4 linked regions of the Rattus norvegicus genome follow. The protein of the gene in region 3 interacts with the protein of the main gene of each other region in a pairwise test. Links are inferred from orthologs where the notes say so. Each region holds a gene or a part of one and is shown on either strand. Other genes may lie near its edges.

Region 1 (4,297 bases), on a different chromosome or scaffold from region 3:
ATGGTGGTACCACTGGAAATGTATGGAAGGTCCTTATAAAAGCTGAACACAGAATTACCATATGGTACAGCTTTCCACTTCTAGCTATATACCAGGGTACTAAGAGCAAGGGTTCTGAACGCCAGTGTTCACTTCAGCATTAATTACCCCAGCCTGCAGGCATACACAGGAATAAGCAAAATGTAGCAGCACATACAGTGGAATATCGTTCAGACTTCAGGACCTCCAACACAGATGAACCTTGAAGATAATATGGTTAGGGATAGGCACTGTATGGTTCACAGTCAGGGGCAGGAAGGAGAACTTAGTTGGTAACCAACCAGCAGCAGGGGGCAGGAAGGAACAGGAGGTACTGGGGGGTTCTGCAGTTTCACTACTGAAGTTTTGAAAAGGGGTGAGAGTGATGGTTGCACAATATTGTAAATGTAATTAATGCCACTGAACTATACTTCTTATATATAAAAAGTGTTACGATGGCTGTATTTTATGTACCTATTTTATCGTTTGTTTTTTTTAATAGTTCTCAGGAGCAAGACCAACTTCGATATTATATTATATGACTCTTTTTTAAAGATTTGTTTGTTTGCTTGCTTTGTGTATATGTGTACAAACATCTGTGGAGGACAGAATGGAACATCAGCGCCTCTGGAGCTTACAGGAGACTGGGGGAGGTGGGTGCTGGTAACCAATCTCCAGTTAGACAAGCATTCTTAACTTCTGAGCCATCTCTCCAGCCCATACATATAATTTTTAATAACTTTTCATGCTGCCTGGGATAGGAAAGAAGAAGTGAGCAAACAGTTTACAGAAGTCACTACTGAGCCTTAAAGCAGCAGTACCTAAGATCTTGACTTGAAGTCTCGCAACTTCTTGAACTATCCCCTGAACCCATTCGTCTTCTTTTAGATGGATGACCCCCATCATTTGAGTTATCTTCATTATCATCCTGTACATTAAAAAAATGGAAAATGTTAAAATGAATTAAAAACAAAGAGTGATTCTGTATCATTCCAGTCTGCCTAAATATCAACAAGAGAAAGCACATTTCTACCTAGTGTCCTTAGAAAACTTAATTTTAGAATAATTAAAAGGACAGAGAATTTGTTATAAGAAATGGAATAAATCTAAAAACTGACCTTCAATCTAAACAAAATTGATTTTCAACTATATTTTAAATGTACTCTGCTTTCATTTTCTTACCAACTAGGTTGTGTTCAAATGTCTTCTGCTTTTTAATAGCAAAACCACTTTAAAATCAAAGTAAGCCTTCCTATTTGAGCTGGGAAATAAATACTAACAAATTTTGTAGCACACTTCCATTTACAACTGGCCTACCAGATCACATTCTAATTAGCTACTTTGCAGATGAAGGACTGGACACAGGTTACCAAGTCTAACTACATTCTTTTTCTTCTATAGCAGAAATTCAGCACATTGTGATAAGCTCATAGAAGATATAAGTTGTTGAGCCATTCCATTAAGGAAAGAAGTAGTCAAATGTTTTTAAAATAATTCATTTACATATTGCTCATGGCTTCAGCTCATAGTTCTTTAAATCAAGGTACTATAGCTCTTAACACTACTAATCTTACTATATATTTCAATAAGGACCCGCGAAAGAAAATAAAAAGGAAGCACAGGCCAGCACGTCAGGTCAGCATGCCACTGTGGGCTGCCTGGAGTCGTATGGAGCAGCTGTCCACCAGCTGTGTGGTAACCTGCCAGCTTCTCCCTGTCTGAAAGCCTAGGTGGCTGATGCAAGGATTCAGTGAAGTGATACATGAGCACATGAAGAGCAAGGGCTAGTGCATAACTGATATATGTTAACGTTGAGGTTAGCAGTGATTTTACATTTCACTATGTCTCTAGCACCTAGGAATTTACTAAAATTATTTTTCAAATTAAAAAAAAAGAAACCATTCTCCTTTTCACTCATCAAAAATGAAGTCAAGTAAACAAACTTAATATTCCTTTTTAAAACTAAAAAACAAGTTGAAAGATAATATTTAATATTTAATTTTTCACAGTACTCATATTCCATACTTGCTTGACAAGGTTCATTTTAAGCTCTGAAGCATTTTAAGCGCTATTTTACTAATTTGTGAATATTTTAAAGATTTCTGTTTAAAAACGCTTTTAGTTAAAAACAATGATCCATTCGAAAAGAAACAATAATGGAAGTTGACACAGAGTTTAACAGCTCACAACCGTATGAATTCTAAGGGCTACGTTCCAGGTAAGGCCCTCTTCTCTGCAAGGTCCTCAGTCGGGGCCAGGAGCCAGCAGCCCCCGGGCGCTGCTCTGACTCGGGCCCGGCCACAGTGAGGTTCACAGGGGAGCAGACAGAGGCCCCGCGGGGAGGGACGGGCACGTGGACGGGTCACTTCGGCTGGCCGAGTCTGTGGGTGTGAACCCACGTTCTGCCAACTCGGGACCACGAGCGCACGCCCCGCTCAGCGTCTCCTGGACTTGAGATCCCAAAAGGCCGCAACTTTTCTGACTTCCCCAGGCTGCGGGCGCTCCGTCTCAACCACTCTTCGCGAGTCTTCCGGTCCCTACTACTCCCCGACAACTTCCCACCCGCCGCGCAGGTCTCCCTGAGGTCCGCGCCCACCGTTCGCCGCACTTGTTGCTTGGGGACCCGCCGTCCTGTCCCCACTGCGCTCCCGAACCCGGCCCGGGCCGCTGCAGCCGTTGGGCAGCGCGCTCCGCTCACCTTCGGGGACTGCGCTCCGGGGGAGGCCGGGTCGCTGTCGCACCGCCGCGGGGACAGCGCCGCCCCGGGCCCGGCCGCTGCCATCAGCCCCAGCGCCCCGCGCCTCCGTCGTCGTCGCCGCCGTCGCCTAGTCCCAGCCGCCGCCGCCGCCGCTGCCGCCGCTGTCGCGCGGGCCGCCCGGCGCCCCGGCCCCGCCCCCTCCGCCCGCCCGCCCGGGGGCCGGCCCCTGCCGCCGCGCGCCCCGCGGCCCGCCAGCGCCACCGCCATGGCCGCCAGCGCGCCGCCGGCCGGGACCCGCACGCCGCTCACGTCAGCCGGCTGCAGCTGCGCGGCTCTACGGGCCTGGGCCGGGGCCCGCCGCCTTGCCGCCTTCACCCGGCCCGCCGCGCCCGGCCTGAGCTCCGCTGGCCAGCTGCCGCCTTGGCCCGGGCCCCGGCCCGACCCGGGTTCCTGGCCGCCTGGCGAGCTCGCCGCCGCCCCTTCCCTGCGCCCCCAGCCCGGCCCTTCGCGTCAGCCGCGGCTCCGCGCCGCCCCGCCCCGCCGCGGTCCCGCCCCCTCCCCTCCTCCGCCGCGCGTCAGCCGGGGGTCCTCAGTCGGCGGCGGCTGCCTAGTCCCCACCTGGGTCGCCAGCTCCTCCCGTGAAAGATGGGTCCCTACCACGCGTGTCCTCCAACCCCCACCCCTACACACACACACACACACCGGTGCCCAGCTCCTCCCCTCAGCCAGGGGTCTCCACCACGCTGTCTCTTCCCGCCCCCACCCCGAATCAAGGGTCCCCGCTACGTGGTATCCTCCCACCACCGGTCCCAGCCCCTCCCCTCAGCCTGGGGTCCCCACACCCGCGGCCACCTTCCCCTTCTCCACCAGTGTCTGCGCTCCCTTCTGTAACTGAAGGATTTGAGTCCTCAGTCTACTTCCTCCTCTCTCCTCAGCCCTGAGGGTCAACCACCCCAGGAGCTCCGCCTCCTCTCTCCTTGAGATCCCCTCTCCTGTAGTGCCTTTTCCCCACCCCGCCATCTTCACTCCGCACACCTCTGGGTCCCCAAGGCGCCCTTGGCTCCTTTGTTCTACATTTGCCACTCCCGAAACCTAGGTGTAGTGGCCACGAGAAAAGTCAGAGCAGCACTCTGGCTGAACAGGACCCAATCAGGCAAGAACATAGAGAAGGTCCCCCAAACCATATGACAGTGTCAGAAAACATAATCACCTGCAGGACACAGGATTGGGAATCCCTGGGAAATGAAAGCCAGTGTGCTTGGATTTATATTGATCCTAGTTCTTAGACTTCGCCTTTTGAAAGGCCGGACCCCACCCTTTGAAAGGAGCACCAGGAAGACAACAGGTCCAATAGACAAAGGCAAGGGACAGAGAAGCACCCCTATGCTCCCCAGCCCCCATCCACAACACTCCCCACAACTCTTCCAAGAATGTACAGGACCAGATCAGAAAAGATGATCTAGCTCTTGGATTTCAGAATTTGAGTTCCCTTTCATGGCCAGGACTTCTAGCTCCTGACAATAAACCCAGCATTTTCTCCTCACATGAAATATAGTGTGTCCACATGAAAGATAGAGCTGT
Region 2 (3,997 bases), on a different chromosome or scaffold from region 3:
TGCCTGATCCACTCCTCTTGATTACTTAAACAGTGACGTAATCGAAAGACCCTGCCTGTTTTTCCTGTTTGAAACGTATTCCTTCCTTTTCGAGGAAGTGCTGCCTCTGGGGAGATCTGGAAATCTGCTGCTGCTGTCTTCTTGGCTTACAAAACCATTTCTCTCTATTATTCACTTTTAATACTCTTTGCTAACCTACCACTTTTCATCTGACACCCCCCCATCTTTAATAAGCGCAGCGAGCAGTTACAGAATAGATTTAAACAATTTCTTGTTTGTTTTACTAAATTGTTAAAAAAAAAAAAAAAGTCCAGTCACTTTACATTGCAGTTAGGAATCTGGAGAGTGGCTCAGCTAATAAAAGGCCCACCATGAAAGCAGGAGGATCGGAGTTCGGATCCCATGTGCCCACAAAACGAGGGGCGTGGCTGCTTGGGCGTGTAACCTGAGTGCAGGATCTCTGGAGTTCACTGACCAACAGCATCTCGAAGCACAAGGTTGGGGAGAGCTGTAGGAGACACTCGTGCCAACGTCTGGCCTCCACATATACAGGCATGGGCTCCTGCATGCACACGGGGCTGGCTGGTCTCTGTGAGTTTAAGACTAGCCTAGTCTATGTAATGAGTTCCAGGCCTGCCAAAGCTAAATAGTGAGACCACAACCACAACAAAAGAAAAAAGGCACGTCCGAGCCTTACTATATGGTTCGCAGTCAACTTCGGAATGTTCACGTTGAGGTTTTCCGCTTGGTCTTGGGAACACTCTTTTAGAGTTTCTGTATAAACTACTGGCTTAGCCATATTGCAGGACCTGAAATCTTTTTAACTTACTGACCCTCTCCTCACACCCACTCTTTAATTAGATGTTCAAGTTAACAAGCTATTATTAATATTAATTATTATCTTAATTGTTTCCTTTTTTTGTTTTTTTTTTTTTTTTTTTAAAGACAGCACAGCATTTCTCTGTGTAACCCTGTCTGTCCTGGAACTCACACTAGACCAGGCTGGCCTCAAACTCAAGAGATCCCCCTGCCTCTGCATGTACCACCATGGCTGACTTATCTCATTCTTAGTAACATGTACGGGTGTTGTGTCTGCATGTTTATCTCTGCACCGTGTTTGTGTCTGGTGCCCATGGATGCCTGAAGAGGGTACTGGATCCTCTATAACCAAAGTTACGGATGGCTGTGGTATTTGAACCTGGCTCCTACAGTCCTTAACCCCTGAGCTGCTTCCTCAGGCCAGGTTGGTCAGTTTTGCAAAGAGGCTTGAAGAAACCTGCATTACTGATGAATCTCTTAGGGATACAGTGCTAAGGAGGTTGTGGACAGCCGTCCTTAACCCCTGAGCTGCTTCCTCAGGCCAGGTTGGTCAGTTTTGCAAAGAGGCTTGAAGAAACCTGCATTACTGATGAATCTCTTAGGGATACAGTGCTAAGGAGGTTGTGGACAAACCTGGCTCACTGGGATTTGGAATTTACAGGACGGCTGGCACAGTAGTCTGGATGCTCAGCCTTGGGGGCGAGGGGTGGGGGGGTTTGGACACAGATGAATGATAAAGCAAAAAGGACTTGTCCCATGACCGTGCCCTATGTTCCTCAGTGGGCTTATGGTAGCTTCCAAGGTTGGTCACTGGGCTGTCCAGGAGGGCCGTTTCCTAACTCACAATAAACATTGGGCCCCAGAGGCAGGCCCAGCACCACCTCCAGTCATCTCTAGGCCCTTTGAGAAGCAGCCTGATTGTGGAAGAGAACATTGAGTTTTCTTGGAATAGGTACAGTCCCTTCCACATTAAGAAGTGTGGCTCATGAGATGCTGGCAGCTGATGTCACCTATGAGAGGCCTCCAACTGCATCTGGCAGGACTGTCGGCTGCCACACTGAAAAATCAGGGCATTCACAGAAAATTCACTTTCTGTATCGAAAGATCTGGCATCCAGAAGGGTCCACGTACTGGAACTGCTGCAGGGCCAGATCTGTGGTACTTGACAGGCCCTGGAGCCTAAGGGGCTTCCAACAAATTCTGTTCAATAGATTCCTACAGTGCCACATGTCACACAAAGTCAGAGGCACCCACTCCAGCTGCTTCTGTGTGAGTGGTAGTGCCCAGATACCTAAGAGGCACCTGAGGTAGTTCAGAGGGACACTTCATAAATGCTGATAAATATGCAAAAACAAGCTTTGGGCTGGGAACTCGGATGGCATCAAGTGAGAAGAAGCCGGAGGAGGAAGGGGAGCAGAGGTCAGGGCATCTTTGGTCTTCACAAAGAGGCAATTCTTCAGTGAACTAGGAGTAAAGGGGGTAAAAGAAAACGTGTGCTTACACCACTTGGTCCTTCAGAGGCAGCTGGGGAAACTGAGGCAGAGGGCGAGCTGGGGGACCCTGCTGGCTTCTGGCTGTTAAGTCACTTTACAGGACGGTGCACACGTCCCGGCGGAGGGCCACTAGTGTCCTTCCCCTGCTGCCCGCCCCAGGACCGTCCTCCTCACCCGCGTTCCGACCCCCCTGTGCCACTGCGCGTGCCCGCGGGTCGCGTCCTGCTGCCCCGCCAGGCCTGCTGCGCACAGGCCCGGCCGCCCGCGCCCCGCTCACCCGTGAGGCCGCCACCCTTGCCATGGCCTCGGCGCCGCTGCAGCACGAAGAAGGGGTTGGCCCGCTCCGTCACCCATAGCGCGTTGGCCACCAGCACCTCCTCCGGGCCGAGCCACATCCCGCGGCAGCTCACACCGGGCCAGAGCCCGTGAGGCGGAAGCGCGCGCCGCGGTCGCTGCGCCCGAGTCTAGCCGAGCTGAGCCGAGAGGCCGGGGCGGGGTCGAGACGCCGGCCCGATGGTGGCTCCCCCTAGCGGCCGCACAGGCTCACAACGCCGCCCTCCTCGACCTCTCCTGGCCTGGCAGTCCTGTCCAGCCTCGCCACCGCTTTCCAGAGTGTAGGGGATCACATGCTCTCCGCCTACTGTGCAGCCCAGGAGAGTTAATGTTACAAAAAGCGTCGGGAGAAGGGTTAGCAGCTCCTGGTCAGTCTCGGAATTTTGACTCAAGTCTAAGGTTGGAAACCTTAAGAGCCCAGTTGTCAGGAAGGGCAGCTGGTGTCCTTTGAAATAAGTATACTCACACCTACTGACAGATGGACTGGGGTGGGGTGGCCTTGAGGCTGGGGTCACAGATGAGCCTTCCCCCGCCCTCATTTTTTTTTTTTTTTTTGCATTAGCCGACAGCAGTATGAGCTGGAAGTGCAGTGCACTGCTCTTACCTCTCCTGGCCTGAAGGCGGCAGTCTCTGACAGTAAAAATTCATCTTCAGCTCCCAGCCCAGGGCTTCTGCCACGGAACCATGAAGCAAAATTAGCCACTGCTGGCTCTGTGAACTAGAGCCCGGTGAAGCAATTAGGAACACGACAGTTTCTGGTTCAAAGGCGCAATGGACTCCGCCCGGACAACAGGTGTGAACCATATTTATTTTGGTAAAAGCAAGGGAGACAGCTGTATGTCCCATGTCACCTGGATAGGGCAGAAGGGTGAAAGGAAGGAGAGGTAGATCATTCTGGGAGGATTTGGAGAGCTAGTTGGAGGGTTTTTGAAACAGAGTCTCTAATATTTCTGTATTGCAGGCCAGTCTCAAACTTTCTGGATGATCTGAGACTCTTTGATTCCCCTTCCTCAACCATCCCCATTGCTAGGTGGTGGTACTCGGGATGTAACTGAGAACTTCAACATTCTAGGCAAGCACTCTGGGCTGCATCCACAGACCCTTGAGTTGGGTTCTGTTACTGGCATTCGAGGGTGTGGCAGATGTAATGGGTGACAGCCAGAGTGAAGTACAACTTTTTTTTTTTTTTTTTTTTTTCCGGAGCTGAGGACCGAACCCAGGGCCTTGCAGGCCTTGCACTTACTACCACTGAGCTAAATCCCCAAATCCTCCCCCCCTTTTTAAGGTTTATTTATTATATATAAGTACACCGTAGCCAGAAGAGGTCATCAGATCTTATTACAGATGGTTGT
Region 3 (3,500 bases):
TAGTCTGGTCTGCAGAGTCCCTAGATCTGAAATTGCCCCTGGTTTTTGAAGGGCTGATTTACACAGTAGAGTTTTGGGTGATTTGAAATCAAGGGTGTTCTTTTTTTTCATTCTCCATGTTTTGTTCCCACATTAAAATTGTCTTCTTTTGTTGTTGGTGATGGTGGTGTGGATGGTGCACACTTTATTCCTAACACTCAGAAGGCAGGGGCAGGTGAATCTGTAAGTTTGAGGCCAGCCTGGTCTACAGAGAGAGTTCCAGGACTGTCAGGGCTACACAGAGAAAATCTGTGTACAAAAGGAATAAAAAAATTGTTTTTGTTTTATTTGTGGGATATTTGTTGTATGTTTTATTTCATTTTTTAAAAAAAATTTTTGTTGGGGATTTAACTCAGCGGTAGAGCGCTTGCCTAGCAAGTGCAAGGCCCTGGATTCGGTCCCCAGCTCCAAAAAAAAGAAAAAAGAAAAAAAAAGAAAAAGATTTATTTATTTTATTATATATGAGTATACTGTTGCTGTCCTCATACACACCAGAAGAGGGCATCAGATCTCATTACAGATGGTTGTGAGCCACCATGTGGTGCTGGGAATTGAACTCAGGACCTTTGGAAGAACAGGCAGTGCTCTAACCACTGAGCCGTCTCTCCAGCCCCTGGCTCCACATTCTTTAGAGGTGGAGGACTGTGATGGCTGTGAGCTGCTGCTGTGTGGGTGCTGGGAACTGAACCCTGGTCCTCTGCAAGAGCAGCAGTGCTCTTAATCCCTGATCCTCTTCAGCCCTGCTTTTGGTTTTGAGGAGTTGGTTTTTGTTGTTTTAATTTTGGTGTTTTGTTTGTTTGTTTGTTTGTTTGTTTTGGCTTTTGGTTTTCGGCTTTTGAAGACAAGACTTCTCTGTGTATCCCTAGGTGTCCTGGAACTCACAGAGATCTGCCTGCCTCTGCCTCCACTACACCTGGACTGATGTTTTGGTTTCACGTATCCCAGGCTGGCTTTTAACTTACTATGTAGCTGAGGATAGCCTTGTACCCCGTGCCTCAACCTCCCAAGTGTGTGTCAACACGCCCATCCTTCTACTGGTTAACTCTCAGGTCCCAGTTCACCTTTGCTGGCACTAGGGATTACTTGCAATTTGACTATGAAGCTGCACTCTCAGCCCTTGTCTAAGGCCCTTTCTGAAGCCAGACACACTCCAGTGGGGGCTCCTCGTTCTCCCTGACAAGTGAAGGGTTGAGGCCTTGTTTGTATCTTTGGATGAGCTTGAAGTCAAGAACTGAACAGTGCCCAGCAGCTGTACCTTGTGCTAGCCTAGAACATCTACAGCAGGGCTGCTTTTGTCTATAACTTTTTTTAATTTAAGACAGGGTCTTATAGCTCAGGCTGGCCTAGAACTCACTATAAATACCAGGCTGGCCTGAAAGCAGTCCTCTGCCTCAGTCTCCCAAGTACTGGCACACAGATGTCAGACACCAAGCCCAGTTTCTTTTTCCTTTCAATCCCATTTCCAAAAGCCTGGCAGAAGGCCTCCTGAGACTGTCTTTTGACCTCAGTAAGCCATGCTTGGCCTTCCTGGATTGTCCTGCTTGTCCTGTGCTATGACAAGTTGTTCCTAGGTCCTACTGTGTCCTTCCTCTGAGTTGCTTATTGTAGGGAATTAAATCATATTTAACACAGATTCATATGCTCTGTACAGAGCTTGCCCTGTGTGTCTGGGCCACTCCATGTTTCCTCAGGTCTATGTGAACCTGTCTACCTAGGGATATGGATGGTTTCTGGTTCAAGTCAGGTCTGAGTGTGGAAAGTGATGCTTTTACTAAAGGAGTTTCAAGTTCCTGTTGGCAGCAAATCAAGGATTAAGCATTGGGAAGGAAGCCAGAAGCCACCCAGAAGGAAGGGACTGGGTCGAGCGTGGATGTTGTTCTGCCAGCCCTGTGTTTGAGCCCAGGTTGAATGATGTTAGGGAGGAAATGTCTGTACTAAGACACTTGTACACCAAAATGTCTACTCTGGGGCTGGAGAGATGACTCAGTGGTTAAGAGCACTGACTGCTCTTCCAGAGGTCCTGAGTTCAAATCCCAGCAACCACACGTGGCTCACAACCATCTGTAATGAGATCTGATGCCCTCTTCTGGTGTGTCTGAAGACAGCTACAGTGTACTCACGTTCATGAAATAAATAAGTAAATCTTTAAAAAAAGAAAAAGGTCAGGAGCTGGCCCTGCAGTGATGAGAACCAGGTCTGTGTCAGGCCCTCCCGGGGCTCTGCCTGGTGGTTAGCTCCCCGACTTCCATGCTTCTGGACAGTGGGCACGCCCTGTTCTTCTCTTCAGTCGTCGTTTTCTGCACTGTGCATGATGTGAAGTGAGGGTGCAGAGGATAAGAGGGCTCAGGGTGAGGAACTAGCTCCTCAGCCATCAATGCTGTCATCGCCACACAGGTACCCCTCTATGACCAGTGGGAGGACGTCATGAAGGGGATGAAGGTAGAAGTCCTCAACAGCGACGCCGTGCTCCCCAGCCGGGTGTACTGGATCGCCACTGTCATCCAGGCAGCTGGTGGGTGTTCCTCTGGCCAGAGCAGGTCTGGAGTTTGTCTGCCATGTGTCATATCTAGTGGGTGGATGGTGTTACAGGGTGAATGGGTTTCATAAATCAAAACTTCAGCCACTAGCTTTCTTTCCTCTTCTTGGAGATTCTCCTCCTTTACATGAGAGGACTAAAACTTGAAAGTTGATTTTGTTTTGTTATGTGTTTGTATGTGTAGTTGGCTGTTTTTGCTTTTTTGAGACAGGGTTTCTCTGTGTAGATGTGACTGTCCTGGAACTCACTCTGTAAACCAGGCTGGCTTCAAAATTAGAAATCTGCCTGCCTCTGCTACCTCCTGAGTGCTGGGATTAAAGGCATGCCCCACCTCCACCATCTCCTTTTCTCTTTAATAAGGTTCATTCTGGGGATGAGGCGGGTATAGAAATCACCAGCCCAGAATGCTAAGAGTACAGCACGGTGTTTTGTTCTGCGTGTCGGGGACCCCACTACCCCAGAAGGAGTTCCTGGAGTAGGAAATGGGGAGCCTGGCTGGTGCTAGAGAAGAAGGCCTGAGAACGTGCCTCTCACGCCACCTTCAGAGGTCCCCTGTCCTTCCTTTCAGGGTACCGGGTACTGCTCCGATATGAAGGCTTTGAGAATGACGCCAGTCATGACTTCTGGTGCAACCTGGGGACTGTGGACGTCCACCCCATTGGGTGGTGTGCCATCAACAGCAAGATCCTGGTGCCTCCACGGAGTGAGTCAGTGAGAAAGCTCCCATGCTGCTTCCTGTAGGGCTCTGGGCAGAAGCCTTCCCTACCCAGTCTCGAAGTTTGGATTTATAGTGCCTGTTTGTTGGTCTTGTTTATATATATAAACTTTCTATATATATTTACTTTATGTGTATGTGTGTGCCTGAGTGAATGTCTGTTCACCATGTGTGAACCATGTGTGCAAGAGCCTGAGGTCAGAAGGTGTT
Region 4 (4,207 bases), about 50 Mb from region 3:
TCAAGTGACCAGAAGAAACATGGACTTTGAACCAGGCCTGTTACTGTGTTTCCTCCTTTGAGACAGTCTTGCTATGCTGCCCTGGCTACATATGGAAGTCAGAGAGCTCTTCTGCCTTGTGAGTGCTGGACTCAAGGCCCGTACCATCAATGCACCCTCAAGGAATACACTTTTAAGGGATGCTAGATTAGGAACCTGTCTGGCGGTGTGTGTGTGTGTGTGTGTGTGTGTGTGTGTGTGTGTGTGTGTGTGTGTGTATCCGTAGCTCATGAGCTGGTCCCAAATGTGGTGTCACTCTATACAGGGTAGAAACAGTCTAAATCCTTGTCCTTGCTCAGAAATGGTTTACAGGAAGCAGACTAAGGTTCCATCCTTGTCTCTACCTCTGGCCTGCTCACTCGCGTCTCTCTGAGTTATAAACCAAGGGAACTAATCATTGCATCCAGAAGTGACTGTAGAAAGACTAGTCTGAGGGGGAGTTATGGAAAGAGAATGATTGTTTCAGAATTTATTTTCCTAAGGGGTGGTATGGCGCCACCTTGGAGGCCCGCCCCCTCCCTCAGGTCCTAGACTCGCACTTACAGACACAAGCATACTGCTGGTTGCTGTAGAGTGGGGAGCTATAGGCCCGATGGAAACCAGGTGGCTGTTGGACGAGAGGCGGAGAGCATTAGAAGTAGCAAGGCAGGGTTCAGAATCCCACCCACCACAAGTGAGTGCTCAGCCCTTCTTAGAGTAAGAGAAAGCCAATGTATGGGATGGCTTTGGGGGCCAGCAAGAAGTACTTGATGACCTTCACCTTCCCTTCCATGCTCTCACTCCCCAGAGTCTCACTACTCACGATCTTGCCGAAGCATTTCTGCATCTCCACGTAGGACTGACAGTGTTCATGGATGTTGGTTTTGCAGTTCTTACAGCGGAGTCCAAACTTGTTATTGACTTTGAGGAGGAGAACATTTGAGTGAGGTTCTGGAGGCCCCCTTTTCCTTTGTACCCTAGGCTACTTCAGCTCTGATCTGCCTGCCCTTTTCTGCCAACCTCAGTATTTTCATAGGGTGGATCTTGCCACAGTGTGTCTCACACACATTTCTCCTGGGTCTTGTCCTTCCCCCAAGCCTTCCATCCTACTGTCTTTGCTCCCCTTCAAGACTCACGCACAATCATCCGGGCACAGACATCACAGAACTTGGGCTTCTTGAAGAAATGATCTTTGAACTTGTGGGGCTTGTCATTGACAAGCTTAGGAGGTTCTGGGGGTGGTTCTTCCTCTTCCTCCTCCTCTTCTTCTTCCTCATAGATATAGTAGATGGGGCCACCCCCAGCCCCCACGGCTTCTCCATTGGCCTGGGGCTCTGGGGGAGGCTCCATCTCGGTTGTCTCTGGAGAGCCCTTCTTGAATAATTGCTTCAGTCGCTGTAGCTGAGGAAGGGGTGAAGGAAGCCCAACGTTAAGTGAGAGTCACGTTCCATTCCCATTTTCCAATCATGGGAAAGCAGTGTCCCTGGGATTAGGGGACTGGGTGTTGCAGGTGTTGGCTGGCCCAATAATTAATGAGTCGAACACAAGTGGTATCAATCCAAGCAGCTTCCTTCAGATGCTGTGATGGTTCCCAGCCCTTCGGACCCCTCCCCAACTGTGGACACAGGTCTAGACTCACCCCACTTTGCGGAGTCTCTCCTGGAAAGGGGGGCTGAGGGGACTCCACCACCTCCTTTTCTGTCATCCTACAAGAGGTTGGACCCCACTATGAGATCTAATTCTATCCCAGTGTTCCTGCCGCACAGTAGGGTGGCCCTTGAAGGGGAGGGTTTGGGAGAAACTTGACTAAATAGCCATTGGCAGAGCTTCTGAACAGATTCTATGGAGTCCCCCCAAAAATGTCCAACAGAGGAAAGACTTCCCAGCTAGTTCCTTAAACTGACACTTTCCACCTCAAGGGACAGCCCGAGAGTCTACAAATCCAGTATGCTGCTCAAGGCCATTGGCTTCTAGGTTCTCCTACAGCAGCAGTTCTCAACCTTCCTAACTCTGTGGCTCTTCAAAACAGTTCCTTATGTGGTGGTGACCCATAAAATGATCTCATTGCTACTTCACAACTTATAATTTTGCTATGTATTTGTAATGAGTTGTAACGTAAATATCAGACATGCATGACATCTGATATGTGACCCACAGGTTGAGAACGGCTGTCCTACAGATAGTCCTGATTGAAGATATATATCTTCTAATGGATTCAGGAGGTTTAACCTGGTTAACACCATTAACCCATCTGCATGTATGAAGGTGTGTCCTGGGATCTGCCCTCCCCTACCTCTCTCCTGAGCTTTGGGGGCCTTGTGCCTAGTCCTTTCCTGGCCTGCCTTAGGCCTCAGCTATTTTAGGTTTTCAGAGTAAGATGAGCCTTTCTTTCCTTCCCTTACCACTCCATTCCCTGGACCCCACCACACCCTACCCCATCCCCCAATCTTGGCTTTTCCTGAACTAGGACAATTTCACTTCAAAAAACCCAATCTACTTACAGGTGGGGAGAGAGACGAAGAGGCCCAACAGACTCAGGATAGGAGAAATGGAAGGGTAATAAAGAGACGACTTACTTTTGAGACTCCCTAAATCAGTTCGCTGTGGAAAGGGCGTCCCTAAGACCTCGATGGTGCTGCTGGGGAGGGCCAGCCCTCTTTCTTCTGGGTAAGCCCCCCTTCTGCAACCTTCTGGACCCACACCAGCTATGCAGACTGTATTAGTAGGCCTTGGAACCTCTCACCGTGGTGGTAGAGCTGAAGTGACAGAGTTGGAGGACAGTGGACAGCTGAGAGCACAGCTGACAGGCAGAAATTGGAACCAGGAGGTCTGGGGCAGGGCTCGACCCTGACTCCTCCCATCCCCCCAGAGCTGCTCTTCTCTGAGTGTTTACACCCAAGCAGGTCAGTACTGGCTTATCAGGAAGGGGCATTTTCTACCGAACACTGTAGCACCCCACCCCACTCCCAAGTACCAGGAATTGAACCTAGGGTTTTGTCATGCTAATTGTGTGCTGGACCACTAAGCTATACCCACAGCAGGAAAGGAACTTCTGTTCAGGACACAGTTACATGAGGGAACTTTAGATCTGACAATGAAGGCCCCATACTCTCCCCATTAAGGTTCAAATAACCGTTCCAATTCTACTCTCCCTGGGCTCATTTCAGTCATGTTCTTGGATTTTATTTCCTCCCCCCACGTCCCCCCAGACAGCGTCTCTCTGTGTAGCCCTGGCTGTCCTGGAACTTGCTCTGTAGACCAGGCCAGACTTGAACTTGAGATCGGTCTGCCTGTCTTCTGAGTGCTGAGATTAAAGCTATGTGCCACCGTGCCTAGCTAACACTAAAACTGTAGACCAGGGAAAGGTTAGGAGCTGAGAAGAGGGTGTGACTCAGAATTCTGTCAATCACACAAGACTTTTTCAGTTGCAGCTCATCAGAGTATGCAGTACTTTCTGAAGTGCACAGGTATTTTTCTCCCTTTCCCCCTCTAAATCCTGTCCTTAAGATGAAGGGAATGGGGGGCTGGAGAGATGGCTCAGTGGTTAAGAGCACTGACTGCTCTTCTAGAGGTCCTGAGTTCAAATCCCAGCAACCACATGGTGGCTCGCAACCATCTGTAATGAGATCTGATGCTCTCTTCTGGCATGAAGGCTATAGATAGGTAAATTTATAAAAATTTATAAATTTATAAAAAAAAAAGTGAAGAGAATGTATGTTACTGAAAAAGATGGTGGCAAAACCCAAAAGCTATGGCGCTGGAGAGATGGCCCAGCTTCTCGTCCAGTGGACCTGGGTTCAGTTCCCAGTATCCACACAGCAGCTTACAGAGCTCTGCAACTCTAGTTCTGGAGGCCCTACACCTGGTCTCTGTAAGCATCAGGCAGGCACGGTGTGCATAAACACATGTAGGCAAACCTCTTACACACATAAAATAAAAATAAATGAACCTTTTAAAGAAAAGTCAGGTTGGTCTCAGTGGTCCAAGGAGCCGATAAGTATAGTTAAGCCTGGAAAGGTTGCAGCTGCCTGTGTCCTCTCGTCTTGTCTGTCTGTCTGTCTGTCGTGTGTGAGCACAGGTGTGTGTGTGTAGGGCAGAGGATGACTGACTCTTGCAGTCAGTTCTTTCCTGCCAACCCATGGGATCTGGGGACTGGACTCAGGTGGCCAGGCTTACGCAAAACCCCTGC

What was found. The genes of interacting proteins can lie anywhere in the genome.
Region 1: the proteins of L3mbtl2 (region 3) and Phf10 interact in binary tests that used the Homo sapiens proteins (3 or more experiments, as listed by UniProt). The two-hybrid records come from large-scale screens. The link is inferred for Rattus norvegicus from reciprocal best matches to the Homo sapiens genes L3MBTL2 and PHF10.
Region 2: the proteins of L3mbtl2 (region 3) and Tbc1d9b interact in binary tests that used the Homo sapiens proteins (3 or more experiments, as listed by UniProt). The two-hybrid records come from large-scale screens. The link is inferred for Rattus norvegicus from reciprocal best matches to the Homo sapiens genes L3MBTL2 and TBC1D9B.
Region 4: the proteins of L3mbtl2 (region 3) and Stac3 interact in binary tests that used the Homo sapiens proteins (3 or more experiments, as listed by UniProt). The two-hybrid records come from large-scale screens. The link is inferred for Rattus norvegicus from reciprocal best matches to the Homo sapiens genes L3MBTL2 and STAC3.

Annotation. Positions count from the first base shown.
Region 1 is NC_086019.1:64,638,868-64,643,164, forward strand, and holds the start of Phf10 (PHD finger protein 10), read right to left. Parts: upstream 2,801-4,297; coding exon 2,717-2,800; intron 947-2,716; coding exon 840-946; intron 1-839. UniProt on the Homo sapiens protein: Involved in transcription activity regulation by chromatin remodeling. Belongs to the neural progenitors-specific chromatin remodeling complex (npBAF complex) and is required for the proliferation of neural progenitors.
Region 2 is NC_086028.1:34,959,815-34,963,811, reverse strand, and holds the start of Tbc1d9b (TBC1 domain family member 9B), read right to left. Parts: upstream 2,801-3,997; 5' UTR 2,708-2,800; coding exon 2,590-2,707; intron 1-2,589. UniProt on the Homo sapiens protein: May act as a GTPase-activating protein for Rab family protein(s).
Region 3 is NC_086025.1:115,073,041-115,076,540, forward strand, and holds part of L3mbtl2 (lethal(3)malignant brain tumor-like protein 2), read left to right. Parts: intron 1-2,433; coding exon 2,434-2,551; intron 2,552-3,143; coding exon 3,144-3,278; intron 3,279-3,500. UniProt on the Homo sapiens protein: Putative Polycomb group (PcG) protein. PcG proteins maintain the transcriptionally repressive state of genes, probably via a modification of chromatin, rendering it heritably changed in its expressibility.
Region 4 is NC_086025.1:65,227,068-65,231,274, reverse strand, and holds the start of Stac3 (SH3 and cysteine-rich domain-containing protein 3), read right to left. Parts: upstream 2,801-4,207; 5' UTR 2,762-2,800; exon of another isoform or gene 2,520-2,761; intron 1,820-2,519; 5' UTR 1,724-1,819; coding exon 1,658-1,723; intron 1,420-1,657; coding exon 1,155-1,419; intron 940-1,154; coding exon 842-939; intron 647-841; coding exon 583-646; intron 1-582. UniProt on the Homo sapiens protein: Required for normal excitation-contraction coupling in skeletal muscle and for normal muscle contraction in response to membrane depolarization. Required for normal Ca(2+) release from the sarcplasmic reticulum, which ultimately leads to muscle contraction.